4 linked regions of the Drosophila melanogaster genome follow. The protein of the gene in region 1 interacts with the protein of each later gene in a pairwise test. Each region holds a gene or a part of one and is shown on either strand. Other genes may lie near its edges.

Region 1 (7,203 bases):
ATATTTTTTCTTATAAGTAGCATGTAAAAACACTCGATACGCTAACCGACAAAAAGGCAAACGCTATAATGTAGGACACTCCAAAACGTAGTTAACAAACACGATTTAAAACCATATAAAACACACCCTATACCCTCTAAAAAAAAATCGATGGCAAATGCTTAACGCAAAAATATGATATACGAGTTATTGTATGTGTACGGGAAAATTTGCTAAATGTTGTAAAAAGTATATATTACTCGATTATAATGTAGCACTCGAAATGGAGTCACTCCAATCATGTAGAAATCCTCATCCAGTAAAGGCACGCAACAAAGTTCCCTAATACTTTACACATAATTTGGTTTCCTTGACCCGCAAGCTAAATTAAACATGAAGTGTTTAACTGTATATATGTAATGTATTAACCACATTAATCGGATATACTAACTTAAAACGAAACTGAGACCCAAAACATACACGTGTAGTGGTAAATGGGCCGGCAAGAATTGTAAATTACCAAATGCAATCCTTTCTCCAGGACGAAGTGAAGCTGCATAATTTACATGGAAATCGTAAAGACACACTAACCATTGTATTAACTAAACTAAACCACACTAAATAAAACCGCATTAGACTTACTAAATATTATTATAACGTAACTAAAAAAAAAAAAGAAAGAAATATGGAAGAAGAGAAACCGTAAACAAATGCTTTCAAACTAAATAAAGTTCTTTGGAATTACAATGCAAAAAAAAAAAACCAAAAAGATAAGAAAAAAACACTAGTGTTATTAATTGTGGGTCGTGGTAATATCCCCTCGTTATATACCTTCTTATCCCAAAAATAAGACTCTTAGACGGTTTATCTTTCTGGCTTAAATCAAGCTTTCATATATTCAATATAGAAAGAAATTCAATCTTAATTCGTTTTTATGGCTCAACTTTTACAAAATCTACCCATCTCCAGGTGGGTAATATCAAATTTCTGATAAGCTTACATGTCTAAATGGGGAGCTGCTTCAGCTCTTACAATTGGCTTAGAAATTAAATTGGTTCTGCTTCAGTCTTACACAAAGTTATGAAATGCCTTTGATGTATGTATGTGTATGTACGAAAATAAAGGGAACTGCTTCACATGAAATGGAAAATAAACGCTGTGCCCGAAAATACTGATAACTAATCCTTGTTGCCGTAAATACTGTAGCTCTTCTCCACGAAGATCTGGATGGAACGCTTCACGTTCTGCTTGTGGGGCTCGGGCAGCTGTTCCAATTTGGGTAGGATTTTCATTAGGAAGCGGAAGTCGGGCGATAGATTTATGTTCGTCTCGATCTCATCCGAATTCATTGTCAGTTCCGAATTCTCGGACTTTAGGATCTTGGTATTCTGAATTGGCAGTGGCATCTGAATGGATGAAGGCACTGAGCTTGGTGTGGACGTGATCTTTGCAAAATTAGTTGGATTCTTTTTGGGCGGCAATGTTATATGTGGTCTGGGATTGTTAACCACCGGCTTGGCTTTAGTCACCACTGGAGCTGGTTTGATCTGCTTCTGTTCTTTGTCCTGTATGCGATTCAATAGCTCGGGCAGTAGTTTCTCCAAATGCTGGGTAAGATTGGTCTGCGGCTTGTCGGCCATAATCATTAGTTTCTTGCCCGCCACATCTTTATCCTGCTCCACAACCACGAACATCTTACGCTTCTTGGGCTGTCCATTTGTCTCCAGAGTCTGACCTTTCGTCTCATCCGATTTTTCGGTGATCACGTACAGTTTCCTCTTCTTGGCTTGACCGTTCTCCAAGCGGTTCAGTCCATTCTGGGAATCCTCTAAGGCTGATAGTGGTAACGAGGCTTCGTAGTCGGAGTTTATGGACAGCACATCGCTGGAGGCCGAGGAGCTAATGGAGTGGGAACGCTGTGGCATGGGCATAATGCCGGTGTTGGGCTTCTTGGCCTGATGTCTATTGGGGCTCTGCAAAAAAATGCGGTTCATTAAAATACATTTATAGTGGTATATATTTATATATGCATACAAGCAGTTTTAACCATATCTTTAAAATATGAAATTTAAAGAGAAAGAACGTTGAAGGGTTCTCTGAAATTTTAAAAGTTCAGGATCTGTCGCTATTCGTTATAAAAAATTAAACTTTTACGGAATAAATAGCTTTGTACGTATTTTTTTAAGACATGCTTGTATTGTTGTTAAACTAACTCTAATAGCATGCCCGTTTTTGGAATACCATTTAATGCTCAAATACCTATACGATTTATTTCAATTGGTTAATAAACAACGAAAATTGCGTTACGGAGTCTAAAACATAATTTCTGTCTGAACTGAAATTTAGCTTGGGTCAATTACCAACCCCTATGAAAGCTGAACTTTTGTTTTCTTTTGTGCTGCCACTCACCTCAACAAGTTCAATGGTGGTGCTGCTGGCCACCGCCGACTTGACAGCACCGCTCCCAGTTCCTGCACCTCCTCCTCCTGCTAAGGCGCCTGCAATGACCGACCCTCCAGCGGCATTAATGGGTAGCACAATGCCCTTGGAGGACGAGGACTTGCGCAGCGGCGTCATCTTGATGCGGGTTTTGGCCATCTCCTGGCGTTGGCTAAAGTGTCTGGAGCAGATGCGCAGCTTTTGGAGGCCGCCGAGTTGATCCACCAGTTTATAGCTGACGCCAAAGTGACGCAGCCAATGATTGCAGCTGCACGTAAATAAGAAAAATAAGATATAACGACTACTATTACTAACCACCGAAAGCTTAGTTCAGTACGCTTCTTTTGGAGGGGGAAAAAGCTTTTCACACATTTTCCATGTTAACGCAAAATGGAAAACATACCAATTATTGGGAGAACAAGAGTCCACGAGCTAGTTGCGATCGGTTGCGCAGTTCTTTGTTTAATGATTAAACTGACAAAATGAAACTGCATTGGAGTTTCGTTCTGGTTCTTGCGACGCTTTCAAATTAGATCCGACTTTCGCTCTCCGCTCTCTTTATCGCTCTCTCTTGGAAAAGTTCTTGAAAAAGTTTTCGCTGCAATTAAGCTCTTTTTATGCTTCTTTTGCGAGTGCGAACGAGAAGCAACGCTTTCGTACGCTCCTTCTCGCTCAGCGGAAGTTTCGCGGGGAATTGTTATTGTTTGTTGTTGCTGTTGCTTTTGCTGCAGCTTCTGCTCAACTTCCCCCTATTTTTGTTGTTTCTGCCGATTTGTGGAAGATGGGGGAATGAGGCTTATTTTCTTTTTGCCTTATGCTTATGGCTAGGCGAAACAACAACAACAATTAAGGCCTTTAGGGTGGACCGAATGCGAAATTATTGTGCAGGTCAGGGACAGCAAAATCATTTGCCTACTCATACCATATTTAATCTGACTTACTAGCCAAGTTTTAAATAAATTTTAATCGCTTGAAACCATTTTCATAAGAATGGTTTATGCTTAACTTACAAAACCAACGTACAACTGTGTGAAATTAAAATTATTGTCATAATTCACTTTAAAATTTCATACTATATCTTGAAAATTTTTAAACGGAACTCAATGACTACAGTTAGATAACCAACTATTATAATTAAACTTAGCAAACGTCATTCTTATTTCGATTTTGCTTATAAAAGTGACTTTCACTTTTTTGGTCTCAAAGTACATTTAGTGATAATACCGACGAAAGGTAAAATATGAGCTTTCCTTGATAATAAATAAAGCTTAACATTCTGGGGTTTCCTCGGAAAGAGGAAGAATTCGCTTAACAGTGGTCCACTCTAAACTCCATGGCCAATGCCAAGTAACTTTGGCAGACGGAACTCTATTTTTTTTTTTTGCGCACCAACTGCAGAAACTGGAGATGAAGAAGCAGCAAAGAAACACAAAATAACTTCACTTCACGGCCAGCAGAGCAGAGCCCCACGCGCATTTGTTGCATTTACAGGAGAGCGTGAGAGCTATAAATAAATGGGAGTCGGAATCTGGGACCTATCCCCCGCCCACCCACTGCCCCGCCCACATCGGCATTATTGCATTTCTGATTGCTGCACTGCACAAGTTCTTAGCCGCCATGGCATTGAAATATTCCTATGAAAATGATGCACTTTTATGCGAACCGAGAAAAAAACAGAGAGACAGAGACAGAGAAAGAGAGGGAGGGCGAAAGTTCAATGACCTTTGACTGCGAGTATCGGTATCGGTATCAGACGAAGAAGAGGAGCACCGAGCGGGGTCCAAAGCTTTGGATTGTTATGGCTTTAATGGTATGGTGTTTAAAATATAGAATGAGCACTTGTGATTCGCAACAAAAACAAGCTTCGGTGATCGAATCGATCGGAAAGCTCTCCGTAGGCTCTAAAAACAGGTTTAATGTGGTTCTTGGCAGGAGGAACCTACATATGTATGTATGTATGTGTATAATACTCACCGATCGGTATCGTGGACTGGAAAACGACGCAGATCATTGGGCTTTACATCCTGGCAACCCATCAGACAAATCCTGGAGGAAGGTGGCAATACTGGTTCCGGCCCATTCGCGCTAGGATTTAGCGACACAGCCTGGCAAATCCGAAGAGTGGTTATCGTATTCGTCATCTATCAAATATTATTTTAAAATTGGATAAAATCACTCATTTTAATTTAAGGTTATTGCTTCTTTTATCATTTTATTAATAAGCTCTAGTTTAGAAAACCATTAAAATAAGTACATACATATATCTTATTTATTTTCTTATTTTCTTTCTTGGAATAAAAGAAAACCTAGAGTGACCCCAAGAACTTTCGCTCTGGCGAATAAAAGCTTGCTTTGCTGCACGTAGAAAAGCACCAATAAGATGCACATCCACGGAAAAGCTTTTTTGGATAACTTGTGCTTGCCTTTCAAAGCCGCGTGGTCTTACCTTTTACAAAATACTTTGAAATTAAATATAAACATATGTACCCCACATCGCCATTATTTACCTATGCTTATCTTAGGAAAACAGATACATATGTACATAATGAACTCACCTGTCACACAAAGTCTCCTTTTCTCTGACCGGCAGTTCTGAGTTTAATAACCCCACGGCAAGAACTCTAGGTGAAAGCTTTCGGTTACGGAACTTTGAATACAATTGGCGCCGGTTTAAGCGATCGCAGCTAGATACGATTAAATGAAAAGGGCATCTATCTTCTAATTAGCGGTATGCTATGCGGCTCCGATTACGATTCTGTTACGTTCTGCATTCTATACTGCGCTACGTCACTCGTGGGAGCAGACTGTCGAAAGCTCCGCCTGCGTCACGCGAAGGCACCGCGCGAAGCTCGGTTTGGAGAGCGTCTCTCCAGCTTTGTCGAGCTTTGTGCCCATGCGTGCGAGATCTTCGCCGGAAAGCTCTGACAAATTCGGAATCAGGCTGAGATTTCAATCGCGCACAGTAAAAACTACCATTGAAGGACATTAAAAAATAGGTATTTCTTTTATGATTTATTATTTTAATGAGTCATATTTAAAATAATAGTGTTTTAAAGAATAAAGTACTGCGCAATGAATATGTATCAAATCGAAGAAAATAATACTTCAACTACTACTTAATAATATGATGTCTGCGCACCTTTCAATTACGCACCTTGTAGTTGATTGTATATAATATATTAATTGTACATTGCAATACTTAAATACCACTTAACTCTAGTTTTATATGCTTTTCGAGAAATTAGCATTTAGATAGCATTTTTGCTTATCAATTATCAATTTGTAGTGTCATAAATTTGCAACATAGCTAAGCCGCCAACTTTTCCATCCCATAATTAATTAAAAGTGTTAAAAGCTTTCCATAAATAAAGATACCAACAGCTGCAGGTGTTGCTTTGGGGCGTGCGTTCAAATGATTTTTGTACATTAATTACGGCCGCACAATTCGCGATTGGCAGCCTTCATTTGGATATTTAAAAGCCAATCAATTGGCGGTTCGACGAAGTCATAAATTTCAATGGGCGCTCATCAGACGAAGGAGGCAAGCCCCTCGAAAAAAAACAGGGGCGTCGAGCCGCAGATAAGCATCCACTTGTCACATCACTCATATTTCCAAGACGTCAATTTGCATTGTCTGTGGAAATTGCAGCCTGCAGCTTGCAGCTTCTTGCTGTCACATGCCAATTGACCCATTCGCCTGTTATGGCCAGGCCAGCCTCAATTTCTCAAGTGCTAAAGCAAATAAAACTTTAATGGCTAGTTTTACACTAGCCAAATTGTCAATTGTCGTGGCCAGTTGATTGCGTTTTACGACCGACAAACAGCAGCATAATTACGGATGGACCTGCACTGTTTTTTCCCAAGAACAATTGTGAAAACACAAACTACTGAGTGGGCCGCATTCGAAAACGCGCTCAGTCAGCATTTTAATTTCTGTCTGATTGAGCCGAATGACTCGAGCTGGCGATGAATGTAGAAGTAGAAGTGTTTGCAGGCGATGCCAGACGGCGATAATTCCCAAGGGGGCCAGGCTTGATCATCGCCTGTGTGGTCTCGCTGTATCTGTCGGTCTGCCCGACAGCCGGGGGCAATCGTTAACTGGCAGCCGATTATGTGATTGGAATATTGACAATTAGGCGGTTACAAATTGATTTACTTGTAATTTTTCTGGCGCCCCTGAGAGGGAAGCTGGCTCGTTAAAGCAATCTAATGTATGCTCCAAACAAATGGTGATCATTGTGAGGGGCAAAAAAAGTTTTAGTTGGAAAAATTAATCGTTTTGCTGAATGAAATTGGACAAAAAATCTTTGTCAGAAGTGGGATTCGAACCCACGCCTACAGAGTAGACTGCGACCTGAACGCAGCGCCTTAGACCACTCGGCCATCCTGACTCTCAAGAGCCGTAAGATCAAATTTTCTTTTGGTTGGGGACCACATACTGAAACGGTTCATTCTCAAAACTGAAAAGAAGTGTGTGTTTAGCACAAGTAAAAATAGTTTAATTGGTATTAGAAAAAAATTGTGGAAAATAGAATAAAAGAGTATTGTCAGAAGTGGGATTCGAACCCACGCCTACAGAGTAGACTGCGACCTGAACGCAGCGCCTTAGACCACTCGGCCATCCTGACTGTTAAACTAACGAGTGCCAATTTCCAGTTTGGTCAAGAGAGAGTATATTCTTGATTTAATAATTGTAAAATACTTTGGATTTTAGAAATTTTTATTTTTGTAGCTCAAAAAATAAAACGAAAAAATGGCAAAAAGTTCTTGTCAGAAGTGGGATTC
Region 2 (5,284 bases), on another chromosome or scaffold:
TCAAGTGCGATGTGCCCGGTGTGCAATTGTTGGATCTTAATCCGGAATCCCAGCAGCCCATTGTAACTAAATAGCAATGTAATTTAATATCTAAAATTGCTGATCTCCTGAGCTCGTCTTCTAGGAAATCTACAAATCCCTGACTGTAACTTATCTGTACGAGATTCAAGTTGAGCCCCTCAAAACGGAGCACGAGCTGCCCGTCGTAAAAGTGCATTTTGTAATCAAATACGCATCACTGTCGCAGCCTGATGTGTGGAGAACGTATGGCTGCGCTTTTGATCTGGTGGACTACACAACGCTCTTTAAGTTGCAGGCGCAGCTGGAACCCAATGAACTGTGCCGTCTGCGCACCGTGTGCAACATGAACTTGAAGATCACCAAGGTGCATGAGAATCCCTACACGGATCTCATGTACGAGGTGCTCAACGATCAGAATCTGTGGGCCGTTTGCGGTCGCTCAGCGGGTAAGTTGGATTCTCTTTACTACTCTCTCTCTTTCTTTGCTTATGATTTAATTCTGTTTCTCTACACACGATTCACTTTTGCATTTTAAGATATGGGTAAGTTCCTTGGAATAGGACACACGTAGCACTAACTAGATTTGCCCTTGCTTTTGATTGGAAACATTTAACACTGAAAAAGAAAATTGGCTTACTTCGATGAACCAACAGTCTGTACTTGTTGACTAACTAATTTTTACTTAACCTTTTAGGTGTCGTATCCATGAAGGACGTCGACAGTCATTCCATATCGCTGGATGTAATGCCGCTGAGCACCGGCTTTCTACCAATGCCCAGCATTCGATTATCCAAGTATACTGCCGGTGGCAAAAGTAAAACCGATGGCCACTCCAAGGTGCATCCCTTTCCGCCCGGTCAAGTCTACAACTCCACGAAGAGCATGCAGATCCATGTCATCGCAAGTGTGGCGGGGGATCAATGAGAAGCCAAACGAATTAATTGCAATGTACTCATAGCACATATGGCCCATGGCCAAGTATTATTAATTATTTATCGCCCTACTATAAAGTAGTAAAAATTGAAAATCAAATCAAGTTAAGATTTTTTTGCCCTCAGATCCGCGGCCAATTTGGCCAGTTGTTGCTCCTCCACGCGGTAGTAGTGCCAGCCCTCTTTATCTGTCAAATCCACGGCACCAAGACTTTCGTAGAACTTGCGTGCAGGATTCCATTCCAGTACATTAAACTCCAGGCGAGGGCACTGAAGCTCTACAGCCCGCGATGCAACCTCCAAGAAGATTCGCTTTCCGGCGCCGCGTTTACGGTGCTCGGGGCGGACATAGATGTCCTCGACGAAGAAGTACCGTCCCTGCCACGTTGAGTATGCCTTGTAGCAAATGGAGTACCCAATCGCCTGACTAGAATAGGAGAACAAGCCCACAAGTTAATCAGGTCATGCCAAGAACTACAGCACTTACTCAGTATCGTTGTCTACAAGCACATAGACTTCACAATACTCCTGGCCACCAGTGAGTCCTGCGTCTCGTTTAAGATCTGTCATATTACAATCCATTACTTTACCATTATTTCATTACTATGGTAAGGGTTTCGCCATCTCTTACCTTCCTCTGTTAGCTGGGGACCATTGCTCATCTTCTCAAAGTCAGCCAGTTCCTGCAGATCAATTCAAAAGTATCTCAAATTGGTATTAAAATAGGAATCTTATAAAACTCAACTTGAATCATGGAGAGCACATCTTTAATATCTTCAGCTAGAGCACGCCGGAATGTAAACTCTCCGGATTTCGACATAGTGGGAAATCTTTATAACCTGTGTTTTTCTGATTATGGTCAAAAGAGCTTATCTTTTGTCGAAACAATTCTAATCTATAGAGATGAGCCGAACTCTCGTGATCACAATTTAATATAACTCAATATCGATTGGGAAAAGAATTATTTGTTGTTAATAAGTAAAAAAATTAGATGAAACAAGAATAAGCCCAGATTCTTGTATATATACGATTCACATTTGAAATAATTTTATTTCAATGCACTTATCGCCATAAAATTAGATTATTTAATACTCTTCTTTACTCATTAGAATTATTTTTTGAATTGCGCGAAGGCCGCCAACAGCATTAAAGGTGTGACCAGGTGCACTTGAAATGCATCGGTATATTCAGCGTAACAAACTTCAGCCATACTGCATTTATTTAATTGTTTTATTTTGTTTCTGCATTTGACCGATTGCGTCGCGAAATGGATGTGGACAAGATCTGTCTTACCTGCCTGAGTTCCACGGGACCACTCCTGTCCATCTACGACGGCGGATCCGGCAGCTGCCTGGCGGACATGATCCGGGAGTTCACAAAAACCAAGGTGAGTTGCCTTCGCCGAGTGATCCTGATTTCCATGTTAATCTCGATTTAATTCGCGTTTTCAAGCCCCGCCGCAACGATAATCTGCCCGAGAAGGTGTGCCTAAGCTGTTTGAGTGAAATCTCCAATTGCTATACCTTCAAGATCAAGTGCGAGAACTCCAGTCGCACCCTGCGCCAATTGCTGCCGAATGCGTTGCCGGAGGAGCCCGATAGCAAGGTGTCTATCAGTTGTCCAGTGGCCACGACGGACCAGGCTGTGCAGACCACTAGCTGGGAGCCGGACAGATGCACAGCCTCCGTGCAAACGGACGCAGTGACTACCACAGACGCCGAACAGAATACCAGCCTGATTAAGTCAACGATTTCAGTGGACCTGGACTACGAAGGCGAGGGCGAGGTATTCGATTACGAGCTGCCGGATGAGCCCGTCGAAAAGACCACCAGCCTCATCCTGCAGGTCCAGGGGAACTTGAAGGACGAAAAGGAAGTTGTGTTTACCCAAACCAATGTTATTTACGAAGGCGACGACCACGAGCTGGAACAGCAGATCAGGGAATGTAACCTGGCCATCTTCGAAGGTGTCGATAACGAGGCGGAGATCATCACAGTAACCGCTCCGCAGGTAACCACCAGAAAGAGCGCTGCCAAGCTTCTAACGCAGCAGGAAAACGATAAGCATCAGACTCCTGTGGGTTCTAAGGAGGAAGCACGCGAATTAGAGAAGGAACAAGTACCTCAGTCGGCTAAGCGCACCTCACGGCGTCGCGGAGTTGTCAAGCAGGATGTACCGGCTACACCGCCGTCAGATGCAGAGCCTTCCCCCAAACAGCATCGGTTAGGAACACAGCGAAAACTCAGCGCGCCAAGAGCGGGAACAGTAAACGGGCCAAGCACAACGTCAGGAGCAGCTACTACCCCTGAGCTCAAATATCACTGTGATCGTTGCAATGCGGGATTCGCGGTGGAGAAATCGTTGATGATCCACAGACGCCAAAAGGGCTGCATTAATCGCAACTACAAGTGCAATGAGTGCGAAAAGGTCTTCGTGTCGCCGGATCACTTGGCGGAACACCAGGCCAGTCATGGTGCCCACAATTGCCCGGAGTGTGGAATACGCTGTGATTCCAAGGAGGCACTTAGCAAGCACATGGTGCAGGGCCACAAGCGGAATCTGCGGAATCAGTGCAATATCTGTCAGAAAGGTAAGATAACAAAGAGTGGTCGAAAATCCTATTTAATTGTCTCTTAATATTGTAGTATTCACCATGCTGTCCACGCTGCGTGACCACATGCGCATCCACACCGGCGAGAAACCCTTTGTGTGCAATATCTGTGGCAAGAGCTTTACACAGAATGCCAATCTGCGCCAGCACAAGCTGCGTCACTCGGAGACAAAGAGTTTCAAGTGCGAGCTGTGCCCGCACTCGTTTGTTACCAAGGCGGAACTCACCTCTCATGCACGCACCCACACCGGCGACAAGCCCTTCGAGTGTGAGGTGTGCTTGGCCAGATTCACCACTAGTTGCTCCCTGGCCAAGCACAAACGAAAGCACACTGGCGAACGGCCATACGCCTGCGATCTCTGCCCCATGAGATTCACTGCCCTCAATGTGCTAAAGAACCACCGAAGGACGCACACAGGTGAGCGGCCGTACGTCTGTCCCTTCTGCTCGAAGACCTTTACGCAGCGGGGTGACTGCCAGATGCACCAGCGTACACATCAGGGCGAGCGGATCTACATTTGTCCGGTGTGCAATGAGGAGTTCAAGTCGATGCCCGAGATGCGATCACATCTGGCCGGCCACGAGCAGCACGACAAACGCCTGGTGCACTTCACATTTCTAAGCAACAAGGAAAACGGAAGCGGGGCCCTTGAAGAGGAACTTAACGAGATGACCGAGTCTGCGCTTATGCTATAAATCAATGTAGAAGCTGTGCAAGCAAGGCGGCTTTTGTAAAGGTGGTTGAGTTTGCCTAATACCCAAGACGGATCCTTACTTTTAATTGTAATAATGATTATAATCCTAAGTTGAACGACCCAACTCAAATGCGCACAACTCATCCGCTTTACATTTCCGTCTACTCTTTCCCTCGGGAACACAGTTTATGACAAAATTCACAACTTTAGAACATCTTTAGTCTTAACTTAGTCGCTAGGTCGTAGATAAAAATAAAAGCTTAAAGTTACATTGCATAATCATCTCATTGCTAGTAGAACTGACCGTATTGCCCCGCCGGCTGCATGGCTGTCGATGTGGAGGCGATGACGGGGACTGAGGCTGTAACGGAGGACTCTGGCATGAGCAGGACGGGAGCAGCCGGCGGACCACTCGTCACTGGCGGATCGCCCTGGAACCAGTTGACGAGTTCGTGATGCGCACTTTGGACGCACTTGCGCTGGTCTGCAATCAGGTTCTCCGAGTATTTAACGTGGTTAGCATAAGCATCTTTTTCATGCTGCACATCCTTTGACATACGATGCAGGTCCTTTAGTATTGCCGATCCCCACAGCTGGACGTGGATGTCGGGTATCTTACTGGCCAGTTGCATGGCCGGCGTCACCATGTTCATGCTTTCCTTTGAGTTTCCGATGCTGAGAAAGACGTGCGATAGCAAAACCAACGAGCAGCTGGTCAGTCGGTTGAGGTCTTCGGCGTTGGCCATTTTCAGAGTTTCACGCAGAAAGCGTCTGAAAAGAATAAAGATTATCAGTTTACATTCTAGAGTCTTGGCTTAAGGTGACTAACTTCGCCTCGTGGAAGCTATTTTTGTGAAAAGCATGCAGTCCCTGGACGTAGTAGAAGCCTCCCATCAGCGCTTGACTGCTATACGTGTGCGTGTTTTCCGTTGAGACGGCATCCAGGATTTGCTTGAGGTCCGTGTCCCGCTTGGTGCGCAGATAAATGATCGCCAGGTTGAGGTTGGCAAACAGTTTCAGGTCTC
Region 3 (4,405 bases), on another chromosome or scaffold:
GTAAATCCCCTCTAGCCTAGCGTAGTCTAGCCTGTTCAGTCTCAGCGGCAGCTTCGGGCGATGTTGGCCGGCAGGCGCTAACTGGCCTTGGAATGCCGTCCGCTGGGCCACTGCGTCATAGTCATATTCGATTTGTTTAGGTTTTTGCAGTGCTGGAATTAAACCAAAGCATAATTACGCATAGAAATACATTGAGAGCTCATACAATTCATCCATTAAAGTACGCCTAAGTTTGTGTCTTAAGTCTTTTGTTTAGAGATTTGTATTATTGCGCGCGATGCGATCACTTTCAAAAGATCTTCAAACTAGACCATACGCTCAAAATCACTTAGACCATAAGTTGCATGTAAATAGTGTTAAATTCGGAGCAGCCGCAGCGACCGCAAACCTAGTTTAAGTTGTAGCACGTAGTTAGTTGCCTAAGCGAACGCATAAGTCATTAGTACCATGAACGCGAACATAAACATGAGAATCCAACTTTCAACATAGTCAAATAAGTTTATGTTTAAAAGCTAAGAAGTCAAACATACAATAAATGAAGTAACAAAATACAAATTCAAACTGGTTCTGTTTATTTGCTTGTGGGGGTTTTCTTATATAGATATTATAATATTTATGCTATGGTTCCAAATCACTTTCGTTGGACTCCTCGCATTCGTTGTAGTTCAAATTAGGATTTTTGCGACCCCTGCTCCCATTTAATTGGTAACTCTGGGAACAAGTGTGCTGCTCCAGAAGATATTTGCTCGTAAAGGACATCGAGCAGTGGACACACCGGTTGTGACTCAAAATGTGCTTGGTAAGAAGTTTTTTATTTTGATAGGACTTTTTGCACTGTGTACAGTTGTGCCTCTCGATAACAGTCTTTACTTTCTTGTGAGTGGCGTGGTGCATTTGATAATTGTCTTCTATGCTAAATTTTTTCGGGCATTTGGGACAAGGGAATATTTGTCCAGGAGACTTACTCCGGAGAAATTGTACGCAAACCTGCGAACTGATGTGTTCTTTAAGACCGTTTCTTTTTTGAAAAGTTTGCTGGCACTTTATGCACTTGAACGGACCTTTCGTCGTGTGACTTTTCTTGAAGTGAAAATCTAGATAATTCTGACTTTCGAAAAACTTGGAACACTTGTGGCACTTGAAACGAGTGTGAGCACAATCGTGACTCTTTAGGTTACTTTCTTCTTGAAAGGACATCAGGCAGAGGGGACATTTGAACGTTCGTTCCCCCGCGTGGATTTTTACGTGGTCTTTAAGGCTGGACACGTCTGAGAATACATCTGCACACTGCGCGCACTTGTGCGATGACTTCCGAGACAGTCTCTGAGAGACATCCTCATGTGTCTGAATGTGAATTTCAAGAAAGCTGGAGTAAAGGAACAGTTTTGGACAGTGAGGGCACCTGTACGGAGGCTCCAACTCTGATTCTCTTTCATCAGAGGCCCTATGAATCCACATATGGGCTTCAAGACATCCGCGTTTCATATATATACTTGGACACATGGGACATTTCAGCCGTGGAGGCTCGGTGGTACGCGTTTCATTATGAGTCCGAATGTGAGCTTGAAGTTTGGCGGCGAGTAAGAATATCTTTGGGCACTGAGGGCATCTGTGAGGTGGCTTCCCAGTAACTTCATAATCAACTGGCTTGTTTTTTACTGGAATTGAATCTATGTCAATGATCTCCTCTTTAGGTTGTCGGTACATCTGGATAGTATTTTCTTTAGACTCTAAATCATCGAATGCATTTTTCACAACATCCAGACAAGTTACACAGATATATTCAGAAAATGAATCGCCTTTCTCAACTGGCATTCCTGTGTACTGAGAGAGTATCGTGGCAATCGGAATTCCGTACTGATGCGCGTCATCAAATATATTGGTTAAGTTGTCAGACTGTTCCAAGCAAACGCGACAGCTTCCGATTGCTGGCTCTTCCAGACATTCTGTTATTATAAAGTATTCTCCCTGCAAGTCCTCCCCTTCAATAGCCTCCTCCTTAATTACGGGGAGCTCCTCCTCAGCGACGGAATCCTGTATGATGATCACGTCGTTATTTGCGGGATGATCCTCAAGAATTACCTCCTCAGCGAAGGAATCCTGTATGAGGATCACGTCGTTATTTGCGCGATGATTCTCATGAACCTCTACGTCTACTATGTTGCTCGCTCCTATGATCTCCTCATTATGTATGTGGTTTTCCTCGATAACCTTCTTCTTAATTAGAGCGTCCTCCTCCTTAACTACCAGTTGCACTTCTGGATATAAAGGATGCTCCGGCAGGCCGTCTTCGCCGTTTATGGACATTTCTAAGTGAACCTTGTCGTTAATTTGGGTTTCGGGCCTTGGTCCCTTATGCTTGGTGCCAAATGTGTCCATATGCAGGCACTGCAGGCAAAGGGTTTTCGGAAGCGAGCCACCGCGTTTGACCGACAAGCCCGGTCGTACCTTGCAGCACTGACACACGTTCTCCATCGCCCTGGAATCATTTAATCGTATAAAACGTTGGTTAAAATGATTTTTGTGGCTTACCTAGTCGTTTGTTTACAATTTTCAGGGCTATCAACAACGGGCAACCCTGTTTTCAGCGTATTGTTATCGAGCGCTTATCGATATCAAACGCTGTAATCGACTGTTATAACTAAAATATACCCTTTACGAAACAAATTTTACAAATTCATGTATGTACGTATTTACTTTATCTTTGCAATAAATACCAGGTGCTTTCCATAGCAAACAAAAACAAACGTTTTCCATTTTGTTTAACAGAAGCCAGACATTTAATAAAAAATATTTAAAATAGGCGGATGGATTGCGAATAATACAAAATCGAATGTTCCATAGCTGTCTTAAAACATACCAACCATATAAACCGGATAGACCTAATAAATTAAGCAACTAATCATTAACCGATATTGTCAAACTAAAGCTAACTTAGTGGAATGATTTCTCAAGATGTAGCCGTATATTAACTAGGGGAAGCGCTTTTTCAGTAGGTTTTCCAGCTTTCTGATGCCCGTCTGGGAACTTCCATCGGCATTTTTATCTGCGCTTCCCGTAAAGCTGCCCACGCTGAAGATAAAGGCTCGTTTGGGGGTTGAGGAAGTTGCCGTTGTTGTTTCAGTTGGTACTGCTGAGGTTTCAGCATCGTCTGTGGTCCCCGAAGTTGCGACTACTGTTTCTGCACCTTGGGTCTCCTCCTCTCCAGTAGTTGGCTCTATTAAGCCACTCACAGCCGCTGCAGATGCCGTGTGCTTGAAAAGATCAATCAGTTGCAGTTGATCCACACGTTTGACCGCCTTCATATCCAGAATCTTTTGGTACTCCGCAATGGTAATGTCTGGCAGCAGCTTAAGCACTTGCTGAGTGAAGTGCGCCGGCGGCTGTACCGGCGTCATCACCACCTTGATGATCATCTCGGCCCGAGTCATGTCCTTGACCACAACTTTGGTGTAACTGGTGGGCGCCTTGCGGTTCACACTCGATCCCACGGAAGGTAGCTCTAATAAAGCCGTCTTTAGCGAATGGGTGTCCAACAAGAGTTGCTCGCAGCCCAGAACATTGTTGGAACCATCCGAGAGGGTTAGTTTGCAGCGATAGAGCACATTGATGAACTTCGGTATGAAGGCGGCGACGAAGCGATGGCAGAACTGGGTGAAATACTTCCGCGAACTGGCTAGCGTGTCCCTGATGGTAGGCACTGTCTGCTTAAAGTTACCGCACAGGCTGCTGATGAAGGCGCTCTGGTCGCCCACGTTGTTAATGTGTTGCCACTGCACCTTGGCCATCGCCTGCAGCGAAGCTTCGCAGCCAGCCTCTAGATCTTGGACCAAAAGTTGGATGCAGTTGGAAATGATTCTAGAAAAGTTACAAATATTAATAAACTATTTGATTATTTGATAGCAAAAATTTTTACTCACCTATGAAAGACATCCTTTTCCTCGCTCATGTCAATCTTGCTGACATATGCAGAAGTCACCTTTTCCTTCAGTTTATCCTCCAGCTGTTGGACCGTCTCCAAACAGTACTCACCCGTGGTCAGAACGCAACAAATGCGCACCAGATCATCTCTTGCAAATCGCTGCGTATCGCCCTCTTTGAGGAAATTGTGAAACACCTGACCAGCGGCCGTTGATAGATTCTGCATATCGCGCGTGAGTAACGAAACACTTTTACCGATCGAGCTGCTAGTGGTGGCTGGCACAAGCTTGGGTGTGCTGCCCTCGAGCACTTTGGAGGCGTACTCCCGTAGATATTTTTTAAACACCAAAGCCAGATCGTACATTGGTTGTTCGTTGCTTAGCTGGTTGCACTGCACCATGCACTTCTTGTAAAAGACGAATAGATCACCAGAGCTGGGGTACACGGTGGTCTTGGCCTCGGCGAACTTGTATGGTTCCCGAGA
Region 4 (5,931 bases), on another chromosome or scaffold:
CTTTGTCGCCCGTTATCAACGTGGTAGCTAGTGGTTTGCTTAGGACCTCTCGTGTTTAGAAGCATTCTCGGCAGAGAACCAGTAGTAGCGCTGGCCTTTTTGTGGGCGTACTCTAGGTGCTCTCGGAACGTGGTATCAGGAGAAGCACTAACTAACTATTGATCTAAAGATACACATTATTTTAACGTTCCAGGAAGATAGGTCTTGCGTGATAATCCACACGAACGACATGAATGAAATCATATGATGCTGCAAAGTATATGTCATAGTTTTAATACTGCGTTGGTGATGCGTCGGTGATTAAGGATTCGACGTCAAATTAGTTTGGGCAGCTTGTAGAGTTGGTGCCTTAGAGGTAGGTTCTGTTAGCCTCGAATTATGGACGTTTGGAAATATCAAATTTTGGAAGGTGGTCGAAGGGCCAAATAAGGACCTCTTTGCGGGTGATAAAAAAACTTCTGGCGTTCTGGCGTTACTCGGAGATGTATCCGGCTTTTGGGGTCTTTGTATATTGAACAGCCTTTATATGGTCAGAAGCGCTTTCTTCCACCTGTTACATACTTTTCAACGAACCTATTGTAGTATTCCCTTTTACTCTACGAGTAACGGGTATAAAAAATATAAGGCCCAAAGGGTTTTCTGTAGCACCTACCGTTTAGTTACACAATTCATAAAAAAAACCAAATCGATTTTCAAATTCATAATTTTTTTGTATAAGAATCATACGAAAAAACGGTAAAAATTTTATTATGTCCTTCGTACCCGTTTATTTTTATTTTACTTAATAAGATTTTAATTTTCTGATTATGTTAACAATTGGTATGCACAACTTATTAATCATACAATTAGCTCAAAAATCAAAATTATCAAAAGAAATTCCTTCCATTCCTTCCTATTTAGCATATTTCTGTGGAGTTTTTGCTTAAATCACAATCATCGACAAATTCAACGTGCGTGAAGGGAAAATGACCATTTTTTCCATTTAATTCTCCCTCCCATTGCCCATTAATGTTTGTTTTAGTGACTTTAATAATGTCACCTATTTCCAATTTTAATGCAGTCTTATCGTATGCGTTAGGGACCCTTGACTGTTTTACGCGGGCGTATGCAGGTAGTTTTCGCTTCGATAAATTAAAATGTAAAACATTATTTTTTTTTTAAATACTTTTTTGGAACACTTACATTTAAATCTGTCCTTTTAAGAGTACTTTCAAATACATTGCTAGATCCCGAAATGGAAGGTTCGTTTTTATCAATAGCATCTTCATCCATATAATCGTCATACTGAAAAGAACAAATTTGAAAATGATTTAACTTTTAAAAATCAATGCCTTTAACAAACTTATTTATCAAAGGTCGTTCGCAATTTGGCCTTCTCTATTTAAGCGGACGAATATATTGAAGGCAATGGAGCTTGTCCATTGTCAGTTTAATTCAATGCAAATGGTTTTTGTAATGGATTTTATAATGTATTGAGATTGTAGTCAGACTTTAAAGAATCTAATCGCAACAATTTAAGGGTATTATTACATGAACTCAATAATTATTTCTGAACAAGTTTCTCGGCTATCAGATACCCGCTAGTCATAAAATAGGCGTGGGGAAAAGAGCTCAATTTACATTTTTTACATACATACATATATTTTTACATATTTACTTCTGGCGACTCTTTGACATTATTGACCCTTATACGTCTCACTAGTTTTCGGGTTTCTTTCTGATTTTACATTATTAATATCCTAGCGTTAGTGTCGCCGTATCGAAAGTTTTATTTGCATTCCATAAAAATTGACGCGACTGGTTTTACCGAATTCACCATTCATTTCAAGTGTAGTATTTTAACATCAGCGTTATAAGGAAACAAAGAAATTAAAAACGGGTTACCCGTTACAAAAAAGGATAACAAATCCAAATATTTGCTTAACGCACCTGTTGTATATAGGGAACCGGTATTTGACCAATTTTCCCCGAGGAGTTACGCGCAGTCCACCATTGATCCTCGTCTTTTCGAACTATTGTTAAAACTTCACCTCTTTGAAAAGGTAAATCATCTTGATCCTTTGATAAATAAGAAAATTAAATTACTTACAAAAATGAATAATTGTGTAAATGCTCACGCTGCCAACGAAATCGAACTTTCCTATTACTTTTTCCACCCTTCTACACGCAGGCCGTTTTAAAGGGGTTGTATCCAAATAATGAAGAGTGTAAAAAGTTAAGAGTTTCGGTAGATTGTCAAAAGACTGATCCCCAATGCGGTAAACGATTTGATCCTGTTGTTGAACTTTGTTAATGATGTAGTTGCTAACTTTTGTATCTTCTCTAAATAATAAAAATCTTTATAAGTAAACAATTCTTTTATAACAGGCGCAAAATCCTTAAAAACTAAACAAAAATTTGTTTCAAGTTTAAATATGAAAACCTATTTTTAATATTCTAATGTATATACATTTATATTAATAAAGAACTTTTAAAATCAAAAAGAATATTCTTGAGACGTTTATTCATCTAATTCTTTAATAAATGCCGCGTGGCGAGACATACAGTAGAAATTGAGTTCCTTTAATTCGTAATTATTTTTGTTTACGTCGTTAAATTCTTCAATTTATTTACCCCGTCAATACATGGCGCACATATTAAAAACATACTAAATTGCAATGGCTATGAGAGATCATCATTGACATTTTATCATCGTCCTTAAAGGTACATTCCATACTAAATTAAAGAAATACAAAATTGACCATAGACCCTTGCCATTGGATCTAAATATCAAACAAAACAAGAGAGAACCCGTTACTCAGCTAGTTGAATGGGAAAGAGAAATTTCAAAAATTTTCTGGGAAAGAAATAATAAAACAAACACAATTTTTAAGGTTTCCCAAAACTGAAACACACAAAATTGATAAAAATTTTTAGATTTCTCTTTCTTATTACTTTTTTCACCCAGGTCTATTAAAAAGAATATCCTTTTTTAATGTAAGAAATTTGTTTATATTTAAAAATTACAGATAAATGTTTAAAGTACATCTATAAAACACGTATACATGCTTAAAATGGAAACAGGAATTTCTATATAAACCTTTATGGTAAGCTGCGATTAAGAAAGGCTGACATTAAGTATTTCTCACTATACACAATTTTTAGTTTAATTTTTAAAATAAAAATTAGCTAACAGAAATGAAACGATAAGTACACAATCAAAGTCTGAATGTATTAATTTTGTTTACTTACCTTACACAAAGTACATAATCCCCTGCTATCGAGTTACTATCACGGACTAAAAACACTCCCCGCTCGCGTTCGTTCATCAAAACTTCAGTAGCATCCTGTCTAGACATGGGACCAAAGTACCAGCTTTAAGAACACATTTTGATGTTAAAACAATTGATAGTTTTTGGTTTAATCTTCACTTGATCTTAAATTACCTGTTCCTATCAGAAACGTCAAATGTATCCATTTCCGTTTAAGGTTTATCTTAGACAAATTACAACAAATTCCGTCCAGATTAAATAAATAGAAATTATGTGATATAATGCAAATATAGCATACAGCCTATTATATACCAGAATTCTTCAGTGATTTCATTTTCGAATTTCTGGCCTTAAAACATTTGCCTTTTATATGTGTATCTGGCTGGGCCACACATAGAAACACTATCGATAATGTTTGATCGATTATTTCCACTTGGAAGTTTTATGCCAATATTGTACCGTAGAACCGTAATGCGGCACTTGCACAGGGCACATTCGATTGAAAAGAACTCCTTCGAGCAACTGCTCTGTGGTGGTAAACCCCTTTAGGACGTACTGTCAGCTTTTAAAATCTAAATGTAAAACCGTGATCAATGCATATCAATTTGATATTCTAATTTTTAAGTAAAACCGATATATTTGTTCTTCTGTTCAATTCAAGGATATTTACAGGAATATTAGGAATACGAATATATCTGGTTGACATGTTATTTTGACTCCACAACTGATCAGCTGTCAATCGTAGAAAATCCGCATATGTTGCTAAGATCGGCAGCTAAATAAGATTTGGAGCAATCCGATCAATCCGCTGTGGAGGGAGCCCACCCTGGGATTGCTAAAGATTCCGAATTGTCTGCACTGGTTTCTTAACCAGTGATTCTACCTGTCCCGATTAGTTTACCACCACAAGGGAACATTGAGTCCGGACTCCCGGCACAAGTTGGCACTTCAGAAATACAATCTGCAGGGCCAAAACCACTCGCGGTGATTCCACTTAAGAAACAAACTTTCGTTTCTCGGTTTTCACCTGATCAAAAATCATCTGATGTATGGTCTTATATGCAAGACAAAACAAAAGTCGATAATATAAAAGTAATATAAAAGTGGAAAAATTTAACTTATCTTACGCTATGGACATAAGATATATAAGATTTTGAAGCTAGGATCAAAAATAGGAAAAAGGGGCCCGTGGGAAATAAACTTTCCTCACATGGCCAGACCACTGCACCATCCGCCTCTTCATCTTCTTCAAAAAACTGACAACGAATCTTTGTCCGAATCTTTTTCCTATCAAAATGCTAGAGGTTTGCGTAGCATACTAATCAAATTATATTGTAATAGCCATTCCTTTGCATGCTCAAGATATGACCAAAGCAAAGACACTAGAATAATTCTAGTGTCTATGATATGACTTTTGCAATAAACAGTTTACATATTTTTTTTATTTTTATATATTTTTGTTTTCTACTTCGTATTATTTTTATGAAATATTTATTTCTCAATGTAATGTCTTCTTTTTGGAAAATGTATGTTTTAAATTAAAGTTGTTATAATAATTTCCGTATATATTTAGTATATTTCTCAAGTCATTTGACTTAATATGATGTATGTAAAATTTTTGTTATTTAAAATGCACATTAGATTTAGTTGTTTTTCAGTTCCAGTTTTTTTTTTTTTTTTTTTTTTTGTTATATTTCAATTTGATATTTTTAACAGCGCGCAATTTCATCAAATATGTAAACTCGTTTCTTCGGTCAGAATTGATTTCGGCCCGAAATCGTCTTCTAGAACAACACGCACACATATACGCGTTCTCGTCTCTTGTTTTTACTTACTCAAGCAAGCAAGTTCTATTTTAAGATTTCTTACGCTCTCAGCGTAAGCTAGCGGACAGAGAGCAATTTTGGCCGTCACCAAAAAAGTGGCTGCATAGTGCCAAACCAAAGACACTAGAATAACAAGATGCGTAACGGCCATACATTGGTTTGGCACTATGCAGCCACTTTTTTGGTGACGGCCAAAATTACTCTCTTTCGGCTCACTCCCGCTGAGAGCGTAAGAAATCTAAAAATATAATTTGCTTGCTTGTGTGAGTAAAAACAAGAGACGAGAACGCGTATAAGTGTGCGTGTTGTGCTAGAAGACGATTTTCGGGCCGAAATCAATTCTGATCGAAGAAACGAATTTACATGGTACATATTAGGGTAGTTTTTGCCAATTTCCTAGCAATATGATAAAATAAAAAAATTTTTAAAAATTCGCGCCCTGAATATTATAATTTTAAAGCTTTTTAAATTTGTTTGTTAAAATCGCCGCTCGAATTAGCTACCGTTTACACATTTATATTTATGTTTAATTCTAATTTGTCTCTCATCTGACAATTTTTTAAAAGCGAAATATTTTTTTTGAAACACTTTTAATGTTAATGTTACATCATATTAAGTCAAATGATTTAATAAATATACTAAATAATTAAATATGCAATTAAATTAAATTGCAAAAGTAATATCAAAGACAATAGAATTATTCTAGTGTCTTTGCTTTGTTCATATCTTGAGGCACGAAGTGCGGACACAAGCACTCAACAATTGCCTTATTAATTTTTCACACACCGCAAGATGAATACTCTAATGACAAATATTCTTATATAAAGTCATTTTTGAAATTTATTTTTGTGATA

What was found.
Region 2: the proteins of bip1 (region 1) and CG6654 interact in a two-hybrid assay, tested with the Drosophila melanogaster proteins (one large-scale study listed by BioGRID).
Region 3: the proteins of bip1 (region 1) and CG17612 interact in a two-hybrid assay, tested with the Drosophila melanogaster proteins (one large-scale study listed by BioGRID).
Region 4: the proteins of bip1 (region 1) and Crk interact in a two-hybrid assay, tested with the Drosophila melanogaster proteins (one large-scale study listed by BioGRID).

What each region holds. Positions count from the first base shown.
Region 1 is NT_037436.4:8,053,488-8,060,690, forward strand, and holds bip1 (bip1), read right to left. Parts: upstream 5,227-7,203; 5' UTR 4,974-5,226; intron 4,607-4,973; exon of another isoform or gene 4,560-4,606; coding exon 4,393-4,559; exon of another isoform or gene 4,014-4,392; intron 2,889-4,013; exon of another isoform or gene 2,822-2,888; intron 2,722-2,821; exon of another isoform or gene 2,687-2,721; coding exon 2,389-2,686; exon of another isoform or gene 2,314-2,388; intron 1,953-2,313; coding exon 1,158-1,952; 3' UTR 846-1,157; downstream 1-845.
Region 2 is NT_033777.3:15,210,522-15,215,805, reverse strand, and holds CG6654 (uncharacterized protein), read left to right. Parts: upstream 1-2,147; 5' UTR 2,148-2,220; coding exon 2,221-2,340; intron 2,341-2,405; coding exon 2,406-3,543; intron 3,544-3,598; coding exon 3,599-4,260; 3' UTR 4,261-4,529; downstream 4,530-5,284. Other genes in the region: SIDL (shal interactor of Di-Leucine motif), read left to right, coding at 1-62, 125-467, 716-945; CG4210 (uncharacterized protein), read right to left, coding at 1,059-1,380, 1,441-1,516, 1,585-1,636, 1,699-1,773; Mau2 sister chromatid cohesion factor, read right to left, coding at 4,550-5,030, 5,089-5,284.
Region 3 is NT_033779.5:4,380,165-4,384,569, forward strand, and holds CG17612 (uncharacterized protein), read right to left. Parts: upstream 2,572-4,405; 5' UTR 2,533-2,571; intron 2,498-2,532; exon of another isoform or gene 2,480-2,497; 5' UTR 2,476-2,479; coding exon 619-2,475; 3' UTR 558-618; downstream 1-557. Other genes in the region: Vps53 (vacuolar protein sorting 53), read right to left, coding at 2,973-3,858, 3,921-4,405.
Region 4 is NC_004353.4:207,981-213,911, reverse strand, and holds Crk (Crk oncogene), read right to left. Parts: upstream 3,689-5,931; 5' UTR 3,550-3,688; exon of another isoform or gene 3,475-3,549; 5' UTR 3,458-3,474; coding exon 3,426-3,457; intron 3,355-3,425; coding exon 3,232-3,354; intron 2,323-3,231; coding exon 2,118-2,322; intron 2,059-2,117; coding exon 1,930-2,058; intron 1,798-1,929; coding exon of another isoform or gene 1,732-1,797; exon of another isoform or gene 1,638-1,731; intron 1,285-1,637; coding exon 1,183-1,284; intron 1,122-1,182; coding exon 897-1,121; 3' UTR 747-896; downstream 1-746. UniProt on the Drosophila melanogaster protein: Adapter protein which interacts with C-terminal portion of mbc, homolog of human DOCK180. May play a role in cellular processes throughout development.